4 linked regions of the Arabidopsis thaliana genome follow. The protein of the gene in region 4 interacts with the protein of the main gene of each other region in a pairwise test. Each region holds a gene or a part of one and is shown on either strand. Other genes may lie near its edges.

What was found.
Region 1: the proteins of bZIP6 (region 4) and MYB105 interact in a two-hybrid assay, tested with the Arabidopsis thaliana proteins (one large-scale study listed by BioGRID).
Region 2: the proteins of bZIP6 (region 4) and AGL94 interact in a two-hybrid assay, tested with the Arabidopsis thaliana proteins (one large-scale study listed by BioGRID).
Region 3: the proteins of bZIP6 (region 4) and AT2G27930 interact in a two-hybrid assay, tested with the Arabidopsis thaliana proteins (one large-scale study listed by BioGRID).

Annotation. Positions count from the first base shown.
Region 1 is NC_003070.9:26,155,789-26,159,824, reverse strand, and holds MYB105 (myb domain protein 105), read right to left. Parts: upstream 2,124-4,036; 5' UTR 2,119-2,123; coding exon 1,647-2,118; intron 1,571-1,646; coding exon 1,202-1,570; intron 1,119-1,201; coding exon 919-1,118; 3' UTR 731-918; downstream 1-730. UniProt on the Arabidopsis thaliana protein: Probable transcription factor that involved in boundary specification, meristem initiation and maintenance, and organ patterning. Functions in both lateral organ separation and axillary meristem formation.
Region 2 is NC_003070.9:26,144,126-26,149,705, reverse strand, and holds AGL94 (AGAMOUS-like 94), read left to right. Parts: upstream 1-1,954; 5' UTR 1,955-2,376; intron 2,377-2,545; 5' UTR 2,546-2,546; coding exon 2,547-2,731; intron 2,732-2,817; coding exon 2,818-2,874; intron 2,875-2,977; coding exon 2,978-2,996; intron 2,997-3,043; exon of another isoform or gene 3,044-3,087; coding exon 3,088-3,155; intron 3,156-3,271; coding exon 3,272-3,287; intron 3,288-3,364; coding exon 3,365-3,426; intron 3,427-3,512; coding exon 3,513-3,609; intron 3,610-3,690; coding exon 3,691-3,747; intron 3,748-3,828; coding exon 3,829-4,371; 3' UTR 4,372-4,391; coding exon of another isoform or gene 4,392-4,400; 3' UTR 4,401-4,705; downstream 4,706-5,580. Other genes in the region: AT1G69550 (disease resistance protein (TIR-NBS-LRR class)), read left to right, coding at 1-870.
Region 3 is NC_003071.7:11,890,136-11,894,502, forward strand, and holds AT2G27930 (PLATZ transcription factor family protein), read left to right. Parts: upstream 1-1,961; 5' UTR 1,962-2,107; exon of another isoform or gene 2,108-2,222; 5' UTR 2,223-2,233; coding exon of another isoform or gene 2,234-2,315; coding exon 2,316-2,741; coding exon of another isoform or gene 2,742-2,834; exon of another isoform or gene 2,835-3,200; coding exon 3,201-3,353; 3' UTR 3,354-3,593; downstream 3,594-4,367.
Region 4 is NC_003071.7:9,730,659-9,735,279, forward strand, and holds bZIP6 (basic leucine-zipper 6), read right to left. Parts: upstream 2,743-4,621; 5' UTR 2,627-2,742; coding exon 1,943-2,626; 3' UTR 1,918-1,942; exon of another isoform or gene 1,634-1,917; intron 977-1,633; 3' UTR 621-976; downstream 1-620. Other genes in the region: GRF1 (growth-regulating factor 1), read left to right, coding at 1-483.

The sequences.
Region 1 (4,036 bases), on a different chromosome or scaffold from region 4:
TTTATCCTTTTCTTGTGGATCTTATGGAACCTTAAAAAAAAACAATTAACAACGGGAAGTGTTTAGTGAAAAACGGTATTACATAAATTTAATCTTAATTTCATAAATCAATCAATTATTTCGATTTAGTCATAGAAATGTGTTAAGCTGGACTAAAACTACAATGACGTATACAAATAGTATCATGATACAAATCAAATGATTATTACAATGAACAATAACTAGGAGAAGGGGCCATGTGGGTGACATGAGGTCGATGAGACGCATAAGTAAGGGGCAATGAAATGAAAATATGTTTTTGCTTTGGAGAGAATAAAAAAATGCAATGGGTGTGAGAATATTAAAGAGTGGATGTTTGGACTTTCTGTTGCAGAATCTGTGCCTGAATCTTGCAACCTCATCAATATCGCATGTTGTTATTAAACTTCTGCATACTCCAAATAAATACAATGTAGTACATTATTCCTTTTAATTTGACTTCTCTATCGTTCTTTGTCGTTTCTTATATCCACATCATCGTCCCTGTTTTAACATATGTCACCTTCCTCTTCATATACGAAGCATGTTGTTACTCTCACTCCATACAATTTTTGGACATTAATGACGGAATCTGACATTTTCATATAAGATAAGAGTTAGTTAGAACTATAAAGTGGTACAAATGTTTTACACTTCAAATCAATTTTGGTAAAGGTGAGACAATTTGGCATCTACATAAATGAAAGCATTGATTTTAACCAACGAGTGGTATATATGTACGTGCTAATTAACACGGGGTAAGGAATGTTGCATGTGACTAAGGACAACAACATTTAATCTACAATTATTAACGCAACATAACTACATCGACAAGGACTCAAATCATCTCATAACTTTTGTTAACTAACTCAAGCCAGTCTTGTTCATGATCGATGATGATCACACCGTCCCCAACCCAAGAAAATCGAAAAATGGTGGTTTCTTCTCCTCATTGATTCTTTCAAATATCTCACTCTTCCCGGTTTGGTTTAAGAAATCGAATGTAGTTGCCTCTTGTGTCCATGCAATGTAATCGCCAACCATCATTTGGGTTTCGAACATATCCACCATTAATGGACTCTCATTTTCATGATCATAACCTAAATAGTACAAAAAATGGAAGAAAATTAAGAAATGATATGGAATTAAAAACTGAAAGAAAAGAGAACACAAAAACTCAAACCTGGGAAGCAAGGAACTGGTAACATAAGCTGCTTATGGTCACTACTAGCAAGGTGGGTCAAAGCTAACCGGGTAGGGTCAAAATCATTGAAAATGTGAGGATTAGGGTTAATGAGTGGCTTAAGAGAAACCATCGTCTTCCTCCTACGGTAAGAAGAAGATTGTTCCCTAAACTTGCGAGCCATTATAACATGCCAATGGTTCTTCACAGAATTATCAGTCCTACCAGGGAAAAGCCTCGCTATCATCGCCCATTTGTTACCATAAAGCCTATGAGCTTGCATTAGCCTCTCTTCTTCTTCCTCAGTGAAGGCTCTTCTATTTATCCTTGGGTCTAGTTGGTTAAACCATCGAAGCCTACAGCTTTTCCCTGCTCAACATTAACACCCAAAATCTCAAGAACGTGAATCTTGTAAAAGCTTAATCAAGTGACAGAATTAACGTACCGGATCTTCCTTGGAGCTTCTCAGCTATGAGGTTCCAGTTTTGTGGACCGTAGACGGCGACTAGTTCTTTGAGCTTAGTATCTTCAGCTGGTCTCCAATGTCCTCTAGACACCGAAGCTTTTGACGAGTGTCCACAGCTTCTATAGACTGTTGTGTCTTTCTTGTTGCAATTACTGTAATCACTTAGATTAGGGTTCATGTCTTCTTCTCTATGACTTGTGTAGTAGCTACGGAGATGTTGAGCATTGTCGATATTTAAAGAGAAGTAGTCCGATGAAGTGGTCTGATCCATCGAATGGTGTTGATCTTCCGACATGATACAATGTTGTTGTTGGTTATAGTGATGATGTGAGGACGAAGACAAAGAAGACGGGAAGCAAGGTGTTATGGAGAGAGACGCCACGTCAGCATGCACCATCTCCATCCTCATTGGAGGAGAAGAGCAAATATTAAATATGACTTTGAACATCATAATTGATATTTGTGTGATATTATTACGTATGGCTCTAAGCTATGTGCGTGTATGTATATGTTGTGACCTTGTTTTCTGACAAAATGCTGTTATACAACTGTTAAAAGGTTCATGGACTGTCACGGACTGATTTGAAAGCTGATATATATTTCTATACATTTGTATTTATGCATTGTAAATTGTTTTCAACACTCAGTTTAATTTACATTCTAGATATTTTAATTTAGGATTATTGTATAAATAGTATTATTATCTCTGGTTTAAGTTATAACCAAATAGCTATAATCTACATTTACAATAAAATCCAATAACATTTTCACAATAATTGTCACTACTTAATTTTGAAAAAACTAGGAATGTGGAAACGTATAGAGATGAAAGAAATAAATAAAAATGCTAGGACAGAGAAAGAGTAAAGGACAGGGAACACGTTTCCTACGTTGTGAGCAGTGGAGATGTGTTTGGAAAAGTGGAGAGAGATGAAAAGTTGTTAAACATCCGTAAACATCTTTTTTTTTAGTTCAACTGCTTTTGTTCTTTGTTGCCCCAAACAAAACATCATATTATTCTACGATTGCTTGCCAAACAAAATCTTGGTATTATCTTGTTTGAATTTCGAACTATGAATATGATCTTCTTCTTTTTCTTTTTTGTTCAAGTAACAAGGCGATTTCACCCCAAGTTTTAACTATTTTCCGCTTGATACATATGAATTAAGCGTTAGGTATTCTTGTCATTTAATACATTCATAGTGGTCACTGCTCATGCATTATCAAAGTTTTGAATTCTATCTCACAACCAATTTGAATTAACCACTAAACCATCACAAATTGGTTGTTTATTTGTTTTTCCTTTACAAAGAAACCTACAATTTACAGAATCTTTTTTTTTTAAAAAAATAATTAATGATTTTGTTGTTGTTGTTGGTTGCTACCGAAAATTGGAAATAGTAATGAGGATGAAACTAAACATCTGAAGTAGTCCCAACTATAACAGCCAAAAAGGCTCAAAGCATACATTTGATTTGACTCTTGCGTCTTTTATTTTCTAACCACAATTATATCTCTCACGCACACTTCACATGTCTTTTCACCAATCCCCATTTATCTCTCACTCTCGACATTTTGATGGTTTATATGAAACCCTCTTTCTACGTACATAGCCGGTCTCTTCATAATGTGAATGTTAATGATCTTCCCAAACGAGTCCGTTTTTCATATAGTCTTGACTACTTGTTGCCATATCAATTCTACCATTTACTGATTTTAAAATTAACTATCCAACCATATGTCGCAGAATTCGCTGTTATAAATCATTTTTTTAAGGGATCGGCTAGACTTATTAAGTTATTATCGTTAGAATTTCTGTCGCAATATGAATATTCATAACACCATAATGCAATTTTAAAAAAGAATGTAAAGTATTTCTTTTTTTATTATTAATTAATTGTGCAGCTATAAATGCATATACGAAACATATATTATCCCATATATACAAAGGAAATACCTAGGTTTGGTGAGACTTTAAGCATAACGTAGATGTATTTATTTGACCAAAAAGATATCAATTGGCAGAGGAATACATTATCTCAGATTCAGAGTATTTGCTGCAGACTTGTACGGTCCATCTGCAGAGATTAACTCAACATTTCCTATGGTCCTTTTTTCTTGGTCAATAACTTTGAATATATACTTTCTTAATTTACACTAAATTTGTGTCATACAGTAGATGTGAGAATGGATAGTTACTTTTTCAAAGATACGCACTAACAAAGTAACACTAACCATTAGCAGGTTAATTAAGGATATCTACACCCAACCCAATTACCTTCACTTTTATTTTGTTATCATTTGAAAAGAAAAAAAAGTATATGTTATCTACTTATTTAAGTTAACAAGTATTTTTTATTTTATTTTTA
Region 2 (5,580 bases), on a different chromosome or scaffold from region 4:
TTAGTGGAGCTTCCTTCATCTATTGGGAATCTCATTAATCTCAAGAAATTGGATCTAAGTGGATGCTCAAGCTTAGTGGAGCTTCCTTTATCTATTGGGAATCTCATTAATCTCCAGGAACTGTATCTTAGTGAATGCTCAAGCCTAGTAGAGCTTCCTTCATCTATTGGGAATCTCATTAATCTCCAGGAACTGTATCTTAGTGAATGCTCAAGCCTAGTAGAGCTTCCTTCATCTATTGGGAATCTCATTAATCTCAAGAAATTGGATCTCAACAAATGCACGAAGCTGGTATCACTCCCGCAGCTTCCAGATTCCTTATCAGTTTTAGTTGCAGAATCATGTGAGTCCTTGGAGACACTTGCTTGCTCCTTTCCGAATCCCCAAGTTTGGCTCAAATTTATTGACTGCTGGAAACTGAATGAAAAAGGGAGAGATATCATCGTCCAGACATCGACAAGTAACTACACGATGTTACCAGGTAGAGAAGTGCCTGCGTTTTTCACTTACCGAGCTACCACTGGAGGTTCTCTGGCAGTGAAGTTGAATGAGAGGCATTGTCGTACATCTTGTAGATTTAAAGCTTGCATCTTGCTGGTTAGAAAGGGTGACAAAATTGACTGTGAGGAATGGGGGTCCGTATATCTTACCGTCCTAGAGAAACAGAGTGGTCGCAAGTATAGTTTAGAAAGCCCAACTCTATATCCACTTTTAACTGAGCATCTGTACACATTCGAAATCGAAGCAAAAGGTGTGAAATCCGTAGAGCTTGTCATTAAGTTCCAATTCGGCAGGAAAAAATGGGAGATAGGTGAATGCGGGATACGCCCACTCTTGGAGGAGGACACTCACGTCGAAAGTTCTATATAATGACGTGATTGTATTGTCTATTTCCATATACGGTATATATGTTTGTAACACAGTTATTGGTGATGGTAAAAGAGAAGTTATTGGTGAAGGATGCTGAGGAAACGTGAAGCTATTATTACCAATATGGATACTGAAAAGAGATTCATTGGAGACAATGCTCCATTCAACTGGAGCTGTAGAGGTTGTTCTTGCGAAAACATGTGAAGGGATTCTGTAAGGAGGTTTATTAGGGCTCGAGGTCTTTGTTGTTGTGTTGTTAGTGGATCTTTCCATGACTTGTGTCGGAAGATATTGCTCTACATTGTTTTAGAATCTGATCAGGTCTTGGTTCGCGGCTTCTATGGAAGAATAAGAAGAGGAAGAAGAAGAAGAAAGTCTTGAGATTGGATCTTGCTGGTTAGAAAGGGTGACAAAATTGACTGTGAGAACTGGGGGTACGTATATCTTACCATCGTAGAGAAACAGAGTGGTCGCAAGTATAGTTTAAAAAGCCCAACTCTATATCCACTTTTAACAGAGCCTCTGTACACATTCGAAGTTGAAGCAAGAGGTGTGGAATCCATAGAGCTTTTGTTTGAGTTCGAATTCAACTTAAATGACGACTGGGAGATAGGTGAATACGGGATACGCCCACTCTTGGAAGAGGACGCTCACGTCGAAGGTTCTATATAATACGTGATTTTATTGTCTATGTCCATATACTGTATTTATGTTTTGCAACCGTTGGAGTTCAAATCGAAATCATTAAACATGTCTCTACAGTGAGAGATCAACAAAAGTTTAAGTCGAATTCAGTTTCTTGGTTGACAAATACAGGCTTATTAATCCCCCACCAACATAGAAATCCAGTTTCTAATCACACTTTCTAAAAGTATGAACCAATTTTTTTCTTTTTTAAAAATCTCTTTTACCAAATATCTGAAATCATCAAAACATACTAATAAGCATGTACTATACAAAACATAGATGGTTCAAGAAAAAACACACGTGAAATATAAAACAAAAGAAACAACGGTTTATATAAAACTAATCAACACGTGTAGACCGTATGATTCTCAACCGTAAGGTGCTTAGTTCGCCGTTACGGCACCATCCTCATCAGATCTAAGTGCCACATTCCTAGGAAACGAAACCCGATGAGCTTGACACGTGAAACGTCGGTTAGTAGCTTCTAGTAACTGATTTACTTTGGTGGTTAGCCCAAATGAGTGGTCCAATAAAAAAAGAAAGCGGGTAAGTCGTTGTTTCTGTTCTGTGAAGTAACAGATGAAAATTAATGGAAACGATCCCAAATTCCCTAGTCTCTAGCTTCCAACCCTAATTTCCGATTTTTTTGGTCTCCCAATCAATACCTATTTCTTCTCTCTCCTTCACAATCTCTCTTCGTTTCCAAAAGCTCTGTTTTTTTTTGTTGTCCTTTTCTCTCTTTTTTTCTTTCTTCCTCATAAGGAAAGTTTTTATGTTCAGCATCTGATTCATGGAAAGTTTTGTTTTGTCTTAAATTAGGTAAGTTTTCTCTTCCTTCTTGGGGATTTTATTGACAAAAGTATGAATCTTTGAAGTGGCCAAGTGGGTATCGTTTGCTATTCCATTGATTCTTGGTGTTGCTCATTGTTAGTTTCAAAATGTGTGTTGTATTCTCTTTGTTCATATGAGTGGGTCATAAGTTATGCAGGATGGGTAGAGTGAAGCTAAAGATAAAGAAACTACAGAACATGAATGGACGTCAATGTACGTATACGAAAAGGAGACATGGGATTATGAAAAAGGCTAAGGAGTTATCGATCTTATGCGACATAGATGTTGTGCTTCTCATGTTTTCTCCCATGGGAAAGGCTTCAATTTGCATAGGCAAACACAGGTCTGATCACACTTTTTTTTTAATACCAAAGTATCTTTCACATTGTTCTGTTTAGTTTGATGTTCTGTTTTTTGGGTTTTGTTTAGCATTGGAGAAGTCATTGCTAAGTTTGCTCAACTCTCTCCTCAAGAAAGAGCAAAGAGGTTTCTTCTCTTCACTTTTACACATTTCTAGGATCTAGAATCTTTCTGCGTTGACATTACACTGAACATATAACTTCTTCGATTTTTGTCTACGTTTGAACAGGAAGTTGGAAAACCTTGAAGTAAGTAGTGGTTCTTGGCTCTGTTTAGTCTCTCTTCTCTTCTCATCTCCTAAACTATCATTAATACTATTTCTTTTTCATAATATCTTAGGCCTTGAGGAAAACTTTCATGAAAGCTAACCACGATATAGATATATCAAAGTTTCTAGACAGAATTAGGTGTGTTATATTATATCAAGAATATGAGATTCTTTCTGAACTCTTTCTCTGTTTGTTCTTGTTTAGTGTTGTTGTGTATTACTACTAATGTGACTCGTTTTTGTTTTCTTTTACAGTACACCAACAGTTGAGGTATGTACAACTACTATGATGTTAATAAATGATTCTGAAGTATCTTCTAATTCGTTTCGCGACACGGGAATTTTCAGGTGCTTAGCGAAAAAATCAGGTTTCTGCAAACACAATTATCAGATATACACACACGACTAAGGTGCAAATATCTTCTATCTACTTCAGTTAAATCTTCCTTTTGGTTTTGGTATTCTAATTTGTGAGTTACATGGTTTTTTGAGATAGCTACTGGACCGATGTAGATAATATCGACAGCGTAGATGTTTTGCAGCAACTAGAACATTCACTAAGACAATCTCTGGCTCAAATCTATGGTCGTAAGGTATGATCTTCCTCCCAAATAATCAAATAATGAGTTAAGGTCTCATTTAACAAAACTTATGCATCTTATTACGACTTATAGGCGAGCATGCCGCAACGTCAGCAGCAACAACTTATGTCCTCACAATGCAAAAACCAGGTAAGGATTCATCACTCTGGACATTATAAAGATGTTTTGAGATATGTATAAACATAGAGCCAAAACATTGTGTTTATGCAGTTGCAGACTGAAATAGATATAGATTTCGGAATGGAGATGGAGCAACAACTTGAGAATTTCTCATGGGTTCGTACCGATGAAAACATGAATGTTCCTATAGAAGAAGAAGACCCTAATCTGCAGCTTCATCACATGTACAAGGACATAACGTGTTCTGCAAGTTCAGCTCTTGGAAATTACTCAGGACTCTTTAGTAAAAGCTCAGATATCTTACAAAAACTAGAAACCGGTAGCATTCCCGGGACATCGGCTGATCCGAACCAACAATTCAGCAATCTCAGTTTCTTAAATGATCAAAAGCTTAAGCAACTAGCTGAGTGGAATCTATTAGGCAGTCCTGCGGATTACTACGTTAGCCAGATCTTGGAAGCTTCTTATAAGCCTCAGATTGGAGGAAAAAACAACGGCGCTTCTTCTGAAACATTACCTTATGTTGCGGTCTTCGATGATCCTCTATATTTTTGGGTAAATAACGGTTTGTTCATCATTCATTTGTTTTCAAAACTCTGTTATTACTGGTCTTGTTTTGCTGACTGTTTCTGAACATATCTAATATGCAACAGCCAAACTGACAAGTAGCTCCGGAAAAAAACATAAGACGCATTGATCCGAAAACGCGCCTTGTCTTTGTATCAACGAGTCATAAATGCCGAAGAAGCTAGGATTGATAGGTTACATGGACACATACTACACTAGATGATACTATTTTAAGTTACTTGTAACTCGAGAGTCATCTCCAAAAAGCGTAAGCAAAGTATTGTTTCTCGGTTATATACTATTTATAATACAAGTCTAAGCTGTGAACGAGAGATGTAAATAAATGCGTTTACCTCTGCTTACGCATCTATAAAATAACATAATATGAGTTGGCTAGAAAAATTTTGATTTGCAGTTTCCAAATCCTTAACTACACTGCAACCACCACATCAAGAGTTTATTATAATTTGAAGAAAAGTAATATTTAAGATGAACTGATGAAGTATTCATTTTGTCCCCATCAAATGATAGAAGAGTAGTAAACAGAGAAAACTGAATAGTCATTTCGAAAGTGTTCATGCAATTTCCCGATAATAGTTTGGAGTTGTTGAATCTCATAAAGGAAGAGTGCTCAGTGAATGCTTAAAATGAGAGAATGGGCTAAATAAGGCCCGTTGAGAAAATGGACGATGTGAAATATGTTGGTTAGCGTTTCGAGTCTGCGGGGACCCATAGGTACTCATGTGGGTAGTTAGAACAAAATATTGTCAGAAAAGCACATGGCTTCGGTTATTCTGTATCACTCGTGATTACTGTTACTACTACGTGCACGTCATTCTTCTTTTTTGTTTTCTTTTTGTCACAACATGCTATTTGCAGTATAGTATAGTTAATTTCTTATTATTATTCTGATGGCTGATTTTTTATTCTTTCAAATCAGTTGGATTTTTTCCCGCAAAATGCTTCGTATTTTTTTTTGTCTACAAACCACGTATAGAAAATCTATTAGATATGCAGATTTGCTGGCCAAAATAACCTGTCAACAAACTACATTATGTTTTTTTTTTTGCTTCGTTTCTTTTTTTTCATGGATTTTCTCATATGTAATCTCTTATACATTTGCAAATTAATCAAAGAGAAAAAGACGCTAATGTTATTATAATGTTGATTGAAAAAAGAAAAAAAAAATGATCGAATTAGTTAGCTAAATATATTTTGATGGTGGGAAAAAGAAAAGTATATTAATGAAGCGACATATCTTATTTTCGTTTATAT
Region 3 (4,367 bases), 2.2 Mb from region 4:
TTAACTCATACGTACATGGCCAAACTTAGCTTTCATGTCAGAAGTTTGATAAAAGTTTTCAATTCCAAGATAGTATATCTATTCACACAAAACATTCCGATTTTAAATTATGTTGTTACTAAATAATAATAATAATAACGACGCAACTATAATTAATTAGGCTAACTATAACCATATTTGTTTTATAAAAACAAATTAAAAAAAAAATTAAGTTAGCATACGAAAAAGGTGACAGGCCAAAACACATTCAAACCCATCTGAATTCACATTTTCTATATTTTTTATAACAAATAATTTTCTTGCATGTTTTATACACAAAGAAATTGACATCTTATGTTTCTTTTTGTATAAAATAGCATGTCAATTTCTACAAGGTAAAGGATTTTTCCAAGTAATTATCCATGGATTGAACCCTAGATTCGTATTTTCTAATTGTTATTCTTTATTTCGAGCACAAGACATCGCATAATTTTTTTTGTCAGTTAATTTTTTTTCGCATATATAGAACCAATCAATCTATACTCTATATGTGAATACCCGAACGCCTAACCTAATAAAAGCATACTAAACTGAAGGCAAAAAAGGTTCAAAACCAGGTCCATTAGAATGCCCAATAGAAAAAGTCACTTAGGGAAATATCAACTAACTCAAAAGGAATAAGAAGAAATGGGCTCCAAACTCAATCACTGACACACTGGTCCTGATCGGATGCTCTCCATCTCAAAACGGCACGCCCAACCACGTAGGCTAGCACCCTCCCTAAAGAGTAATTAGCGGGCATTTTCCCCCATCATATTTGAGGTCCACCGATTAGTGTGAACTTTAGTTTACGTGTTTGTAATATTTTTTTTTGTCTGTAATATTTTAATTTATTTTTATTTTGTTCCAAATGATCGATCTTCTCAACTAACAAATCATTCATGCAGTTTTACTTGATGAGGGATTTCATATACAATTTTACAATTGACACTACAAAGAGTCAAAGATTTACATTAGAAGGTTCTCTCTACACCATGCTAATGATAGACAAATTTACCCTTTGACAGACCAGACCACTCATCAGACGTGGCCGTCATCAGCCGAGTTAACTCCTTGTAATCTTTCTCAAAAGCAGTATCGGTTAAAGATAGTGAAATGAGGAATGTCATCACCTAGAAAAGAGATTCAAATTTTGCATGAGGGGATAAACAGTGTTTGAAACTCTTTAAACTAAGTTGAATAATGTGGTTGTTCGAGCCAACATTCCATCTAATGTAGTTTAATGTTGGCTCGAACAAAAAGATCAACCTTACAAACCAAAAGATTAATACCAAGTGGAAAATATTGATAATTTATGTATGTTTCTTTTGGACGTACACGTTTCAATAGTTTGAAGAATTTCTTAGGTAAACCATAAATTATATATGTATATATATATATATATATATATATATATTCTTCTTCATTTATTGATATAGATATGTCAAAATTAGAGTATTACCATTATAATTTTTTGGTTATAATTAAATTCCAAGTTGGAACAAATTTTGATCTCTTTAATTTGACATATGTTGATAATGTGTGTTTCTTTTGGATGTACACGTTTCAATAGTTCGAGAAATCTATTATTCAAATCATAAATGTTAATTAAATATATTTTAGAAACATTTTTTGAATTTAATTATTTTCATATATATATATATTAAATTTAAAGTATTATCATTTAATATTTTGGTTATTTTTGTAGTCAAAGTTGGAACAAATTTTGATCTATATACACATTTAATTAGCTTGTAATTTTGTCATCAAACTCATTTACTCAATGGCCTCATCCAACGGTTAGGAATCAACCTTAACCAAACATCATATCTAATTATATATCCTTTCCCTTTCCTCCCCCAATAAACTATTAACAATAAATATTTAATAATTAAGAGAAGAATTGAAAAGATATCTACCAATCCTAAATAAGAAGAAAAAAACATAAAATCTTCATTTATCAACAATAAAATAAAATTTATATCTTCCTTTCTCTCTTACCCTTAAAATCTGATTTTTCCTCCTCTTGTCTCAAAAATCAATCATCTAATACCCTTTCTCTCTCCCTCTACTGATCATCTTCATAAAGGTAATGCAAATGGCAAGAGCATGTTCTTCGTAATTTATTACATTGTTCATAAGGTTTTGTCTCGCTCTTCCCTTTTTGTATATATTGTAATTATTGTCTAAGAAAAACAAAACAGGAGAGAGATTAATGGAGGAGCCGAAATGGCTCGAAGGTCTCTTAAGAACAAACTTCTTCAGCATTTGCCCTCGACATCGCGAGACACCGCGAAATGAGTGCAACATGTTCTGTCTCTCCTGTCAAAACGCTGCGTTTTGCTTCTACTGCCGCTCCTCCTTTCACATTGATCATCCCGTCCTTCAGGTCCTTCATTTTCTCAACACACAATGCATACACATATATATATATATCACTTTTGACTCAATCCAATTCTTTATCATTAACATTGAGACAGATAAGAAGATCGTCGTATCATGATGTGGTGAGAGTATCGGAGATAGAGAATGCATTGGACATAAGAGGAGTGCAAACTTATGTCATCAATAGCGCGAGGGTTCTCTTCTTAAACGAGAGACCTCAGCCTAAGAACTCCTCCCATGGTGCCGCCTCCTCCACTCCGAAAACCATGTCCTACTTCTGTGAGACATGTTGCAGAACCCTTCTTGATCCCTTTCGCTTCTGTTCCTTGGGTTGCAAGGTTCGTTTTCCTACACCTTTTCTCAATGCAAAATTCCTTTTTGTAGCTGGATGGATAAATCATGAGCAAAAACCTGTAAACTTCATATCATAGAAAAACGAATGCATAGTTATAAGTCAATCTATCTAACGAGCACTTTACAACTGGACCAACAAAATTGGTTTATCATATTTTCATCATTATTACTAATATCTTCGCATTTATTTGTCCGATATAAAATGAGGAATCGGTTTAAGGATACACCGTATAATGTTTAGTTACTTGTATGGTAAATTCATTGAATCAACTATATTCAAACTCGCTTAATACATGTTGTTTGCCTCATATAATGTATCTTAAGAAAATATATACGAGGTTAGATGTTTGTATATATGTATATGGTACATTTTGCTCAAAAAAAAAGTATATGGTACATTTGCATAACGGAAATGTATGATGTGATCATAATAAAAATGTCAGGTTGAAGGAATGAGGAAGAATAAGGAAGAGGAAGAAGAAAGATTGCGTAAAGAAAGACAACAAGAAACGCACAAAGGCACGCATCCTCCAACTCATACCTCTAATTCTAGGCGACGAAAAGGCATTCCTCATAGAGCTCCTTTTGCCTCCTAATTTAATCAATCTTTTTCAAGAAATAAAATAAAACTTTTCTTTAACTTATTTTTATCTTTTTAAAATCATCAGTTAATGGTCCACCCAAACATAGCATAGTATATGCGTATTGGGTGGGTGTATTTATATATTCCCAATTTGTACAATGTCCAGCTCACTTCTCACAATCCTCTCACATGGAAAACCAACAATTTGTATAGAAGAAAATCCTAATTTCCCTATATTTTTTTTTTGTAAAACATTAAATACATTTCTAGCTAATTGTATAACATATATCTATACTGTAGGATTGTAGGATGGACTCTATTTGATATACTAATTAATTTTTGTGAAATATAAGTCTTACCTTTAAAACACATTATACAAAAATTAAGAGTTCAAAAAGACTCTTTGTGGAAGGAAGGAATAACATGAAAATTTAGGCATTAGTTAGACTATGAGAATGTCGGTGGAGATATACTGTATACTTTATTTCCGAGTAGATAATCTAATAACTAATCGATGTGGTGGTTTGAAGTTACCTGTCTCTATATCCATCTAGCTACTAAATATTTTAGTTTAGACTGAAATTGTGTGGGGTTTAGGGATCAATAATTGTGTATCTAAATGGTTTTTTTTTTCTTTTCTTTTTTTTTGGGAAAATATCTAAATGGTTAAGGGACATGAATGTGTATATGTTTTGTATAGACACATGAAATGTTCTTCGACATTAATTCTAAGCTGTTATATAATTAAAATAGTTTGTCGTAGGCGTTAGGTATTCGAAAGGTACAGTTACTTAAAAAAGAAAATGAAACTTTCACTTATTTACATAAATAATTTAAGTGGTAAAATTTTACGTAAAGGATGGTCTTATTTTAGTACGCATCGACCTTAATTTCCTTCACGTTCTACATAATATATTATGGCACTTTAAGAAAAAACTAGGTTATAACATTAATTATGAATTACGTGTTGTCGTTTCTCGAGAATAATTAGAGAATTGTGGAATTGTACAAAAGTAATAATTGATGC
Region 4 (4,621 bases):
CAAGCCAAGCACGCGGGGAATCACAACAATGTCGATTCTTGGCCCGAAGAGCTGAAATCGGATTGGACTCAGCTCTCAATGTCAATCCCTATGGCTCCATCTTCCCCTGTTCAAGATAAACTTGCACTCTCACCTTTAAGGTTATCGCGTGAGTTTGACCCCGCGATCCACATGGGATTAGGCGTCAACACCGAGTTTCTTGACCCCGGGAAAAAGACGAATAACTGGATACCAATCTCCTGGGGTAATAACAACTCCATGGGAGGTCCACTCGGCGAGGTACTAAACAGCACGACCAATAGTCCCAAGTTTGGTTCCTCTCCAACAGGCGTCTTGCAAAAGTCGACATTTGGTTCTCTTTCTAACAGCAGCTCGGCAAGCAGCACCATCATTGGCGATAACAACAATAAGAACGGTGATGGAAAAGATCCGCTTGGCCCGACCACGCTGATGAATACTTCTGCTACTGCTCCTTCTCTGTGAAACTGAAAAAAAAAAACTAAGGACAATTGCGAAAACAAAAACACTCTGTTTTTCTCTGTTTCTGGTTTTTCTTACTTGATGCATTGTTGTTTCTGTTGCTGTTTTCTTTCTATATAAAGCAAGAAGAAACTAAAGGAGAGATGTGTGTTTTTTTCTTCATAATCTTTGTTCTTTGTTTTTCCTCTTATTTGTTCTCAATCATCAAATTCTTGATTTTATTGTTCCTCTTATAGCCGTTGAGCTAAATCCCTGGTTTTAAGAAGTCTATGTACACAATGTTCTAAAACTGAAAAATATACAAATTTTTACTTTTTTCACTAACCACAAAATTAAAACCAAGTGTTAGTGTCACAAAATTTGTGATCCTTGAGAGATTTTGACGAGAGGTTTCCTAGTTGCAGACAAGAGGCAACATTGTTTGTGGATTGGACATAGAACACTTCTTCAAAACAACTGTCTCCAACTTTAGTTTTTTTTTTTTTTTTTTTGGGTTCTGTTTCTCCACTTTTGGGTCCCTGTAACTACTTTTTGCTCTTCTCTCTCTAACCCTACCTTTCACTTATTCCTGTTTTTGTTTTTCTTCAAGAAAAAATGAAATTGATTATAAAGAGTGGAGGAGGACCAATCTCTCAATGTATGGATGGTCCATAACGTTTTTAATTTGGATTTTTTTGTGTAATTTTTGGAGATTTTATTCTAACACGTGGCATGTGTGGGACGATCCAGACACTTCCACTTGCACTAGACACGACAATTCTTACCGAATAAATATCTTCACTAGATGCAAGATGCTTCAAGACTCAAGAGTACAGTATTAGATATAGTTTGGAGTACATAACCTTGTTGCTTTCATATGATAAATTTAGTGTTAGATCATTAACAATCTTTTCCCAAAATGGTTAATGGTTAATGGTTAATGGTTAATAGTTTTGCATATATTTTAAACAAATAATACGTTATTCAAATTTGCATATATTTTTCTAACTATACTTAATTCCGTCTACGTACTTGATAAAAAAAAGGCTTGTAGGAAGAATCTTGCGGTCTGTCTACTTGAGGAATAAGAAGGAATCAAAGAGGAAACAAGCTGAACATGGGAATTGGGAAGTCTGTGAAAGACTCTGGTTGACGTAGAGGTTTCATTCCAACCCTCAAAGCCGACGACTCCAACTTGATGCAGAAGGTTTTAAATACATGATAGGGTGGTAGTCGTCAACAAGAGTAGTTGATTAGGCTTATATCTTTTAGCCCACTCACTAATGGGCCTTGATAAATATGATTAGAGAGGCCCAAGTACGAAACAACAGCAAAAAAAAAACGAAGTCCATCATCTAAAGTAACACTCATATTCTCATTTACACATAAGAGTGATCAAAAGAGACACAGAAATAAAAATACTTCGCTTTTATCTAATTTTTTTTTTCCGTTCTAAACTTTTTTTTTTCTATTTTTTTTTCTTTCAAATCATATGATGATGATTGATGATCAATGATGGATTCAGCTGAAGCTGTCTGAAAATCAAAATCTGCCTCATCTCCAAGAATCTCCGTCTGAGAATCTCTTGTTCCGACAAAAGCTGATTGTTGTCCGTACACATTAATGCGATGTTGTACAAAACAATTCGAAGCCGGTTTGCGAGTTCCCGGTTTTCTAAACCGAGACGATTTGCTTCGTCTTTTAAATTATCAATGTGTCTTTGTTTACGCATCCTCGACCGCTTCGCTGATTCTCGGTTTGATTCCATCCGTTTGCGTTTACGGTCGTCAGTCACCTGCAAAACCGACCGGTTCAATTTGTTCCGGTTATGATTCGTGGCGTTACTTCGGATTTTCGTGTTTTTTGAGTCCAATTCGTCGGATTGAGGACTCGGTACGCCGTGGAAAAGGTTGGAATCATCAGAACCGGAGTTAGTTTTGATGGAACCGATACACGATTCGTCAAAACCGTTAAAATCGGTGTTAATTTTGACAGAACCGGCATCGGATTCACCAGAACAAGGACTCGGTACGACCGGTTCGAGATGGATTGTAGAGAAGAGATCGGAGCAGTTCAATTCCCAAGGAGTGAATCCGGTCTGGAAATCCGATAATTGGTTAACCAAACCCGGTTCAGTAAAGGTAAAGGCCGGTACAGTAGACATCATAATGACCGGTTTAAAATTGTTTAATTAGAGAGAAGAGAGAGAAGAGAAGGAGAAAAGGGAAGCATTGATTTGAAGGAGACTGGAATTTAAAGGAAAATTGGTAAGGGTATTTTGGTAATTTTTGAAATACTATGTATGACCGTATTTTATACGTATAACGACTTTTGAGTCATGTGGCACTATGTGGGGTTGGTATTATTTTTCAAGACCCAACTTTTATGATTTATATGAAAGTAGAAAAATATTTTGTGGGACACCAATAGCCAATAGGACTCGTTTAAGGTCACTTTCTGAAAATAAAAAAGTGATTAAAATTGTTAAACCAAATGTTTGTTATAGCTTAGTGATGAAGAAACAGTCCATATTTAACACATGCATTGTCCATTCATCTAATTTGTCGCCATTGTATTCAAATCTAGATTTACAACAGAACAAAGAAAAAGAGAGAAGTTCAAATAAATAAAATAAATTTGAGGCTCAAAAAAATGAATATGGTGTCGTTGGTCGATTGATTTATATGTGTAGTTGGTGTAATTAGTGGTTGGACATGAAACAACTAACATAAAATTCAATCACAACGTTCGTTTTTGGTTTTTATTTCAATCAAAATTTATCTGATTTTAACTAAATCCAGCTTTTTATTTCATATTGGTTCGTATCAAAAATGTTTTTTTCTTTTCCACAAAATGTTTGAGTAAGTTGTTTATATGATTTTAGTATTTGAAAGGTACTTAGAGAATCTATATATTAGTTGGTACCTGGTGTAACTACCAAACTAAAAATAAATACCGAATACTGATATATTTTCTCAATATGTTATTTTTTGTGTGTTTTTTATCAATCGTGATAAAGTAATTTCAAAATTAATTGGAATTAAACAAAATATTTATGTTTAACGAAAAGCTATTTAAGAACGAAAGAGAATCTTATTTATCTAACAAATAAATAAAAGAAAAAATAATCTTATCAATGAATAATACGTCCAACAACAAATTAATGATTTTTAAATACATTTTTGTGCTCTAAATTTTCGGTTAGTTAGTTTATTCGAAATAAGAAGATAATAAAGAAGAGAAAAACTATAGCAACGGCCACATGCCAAATCTTCAAAAGTAGTAAAGCAGAAATATATTTAGAAAACTTTTATTATATGGTTTGGTAGCATGTTAAATCAAACTTTAATCGCATAAAGATGTATCATTCAAATGCTTCCCACATTATCTTTTTAGTTTTAATAATCACAACTTCTCTTTTATTAAATATATATATTGTTGCTATTATAGAATATAAGTAGGTGATTCTACGTATTTTTTAACGCATCAAGATTTACTATTGTCTAGCCCAATTTGTTATTGAAATATCAAATCGTGTAAATCTTGTTCAGAAACTTGCGTGGGCTCGAATTTGGATGTAGGGAGATAAAACTGGCATTAGGCTAGCTAATAGGCAAAAATAAAACAAAAAATAAGAAAGACTGAAATAAATGATATCATCAGTTCATGATTTGATTTGATTTTCATGCTCTAATGCTAAATATTTTTTCTTGTGTCATTTTGATGAATTAGAGATGTCCATCTTTATTTTAAAATCGTACATTGACGCAAAATCTTCGCTAAAATAAAGAAAATATAAAAGTGGCACTGAAAATGTTAATAACTTTATTATTTGGTTTAAAATTGGTCTTCCAACCTAGATAAAATAATTTTATATAAATAATTTTTCTCTAATTGAAAGATCCTATGTAAACTAAACTGAATAAATACACACACATGGTTCTCACTCGAAGAAAACTCTTGGTCAGATTTTGGTTCACCATTCACTAAAATCTCTGGGTTGAGTCTATAAGTCTTTCAAATCCAACAAAAACAACATTCTCCAAAGAAATTAAAAGTAACTTTTTAGTAGATCTTAAAAATATGTCCTCACAATTTCGTTATAACATATGTATGTATACAACCTTTTATAAATCATAAATCAACTTAAACCACAATGATA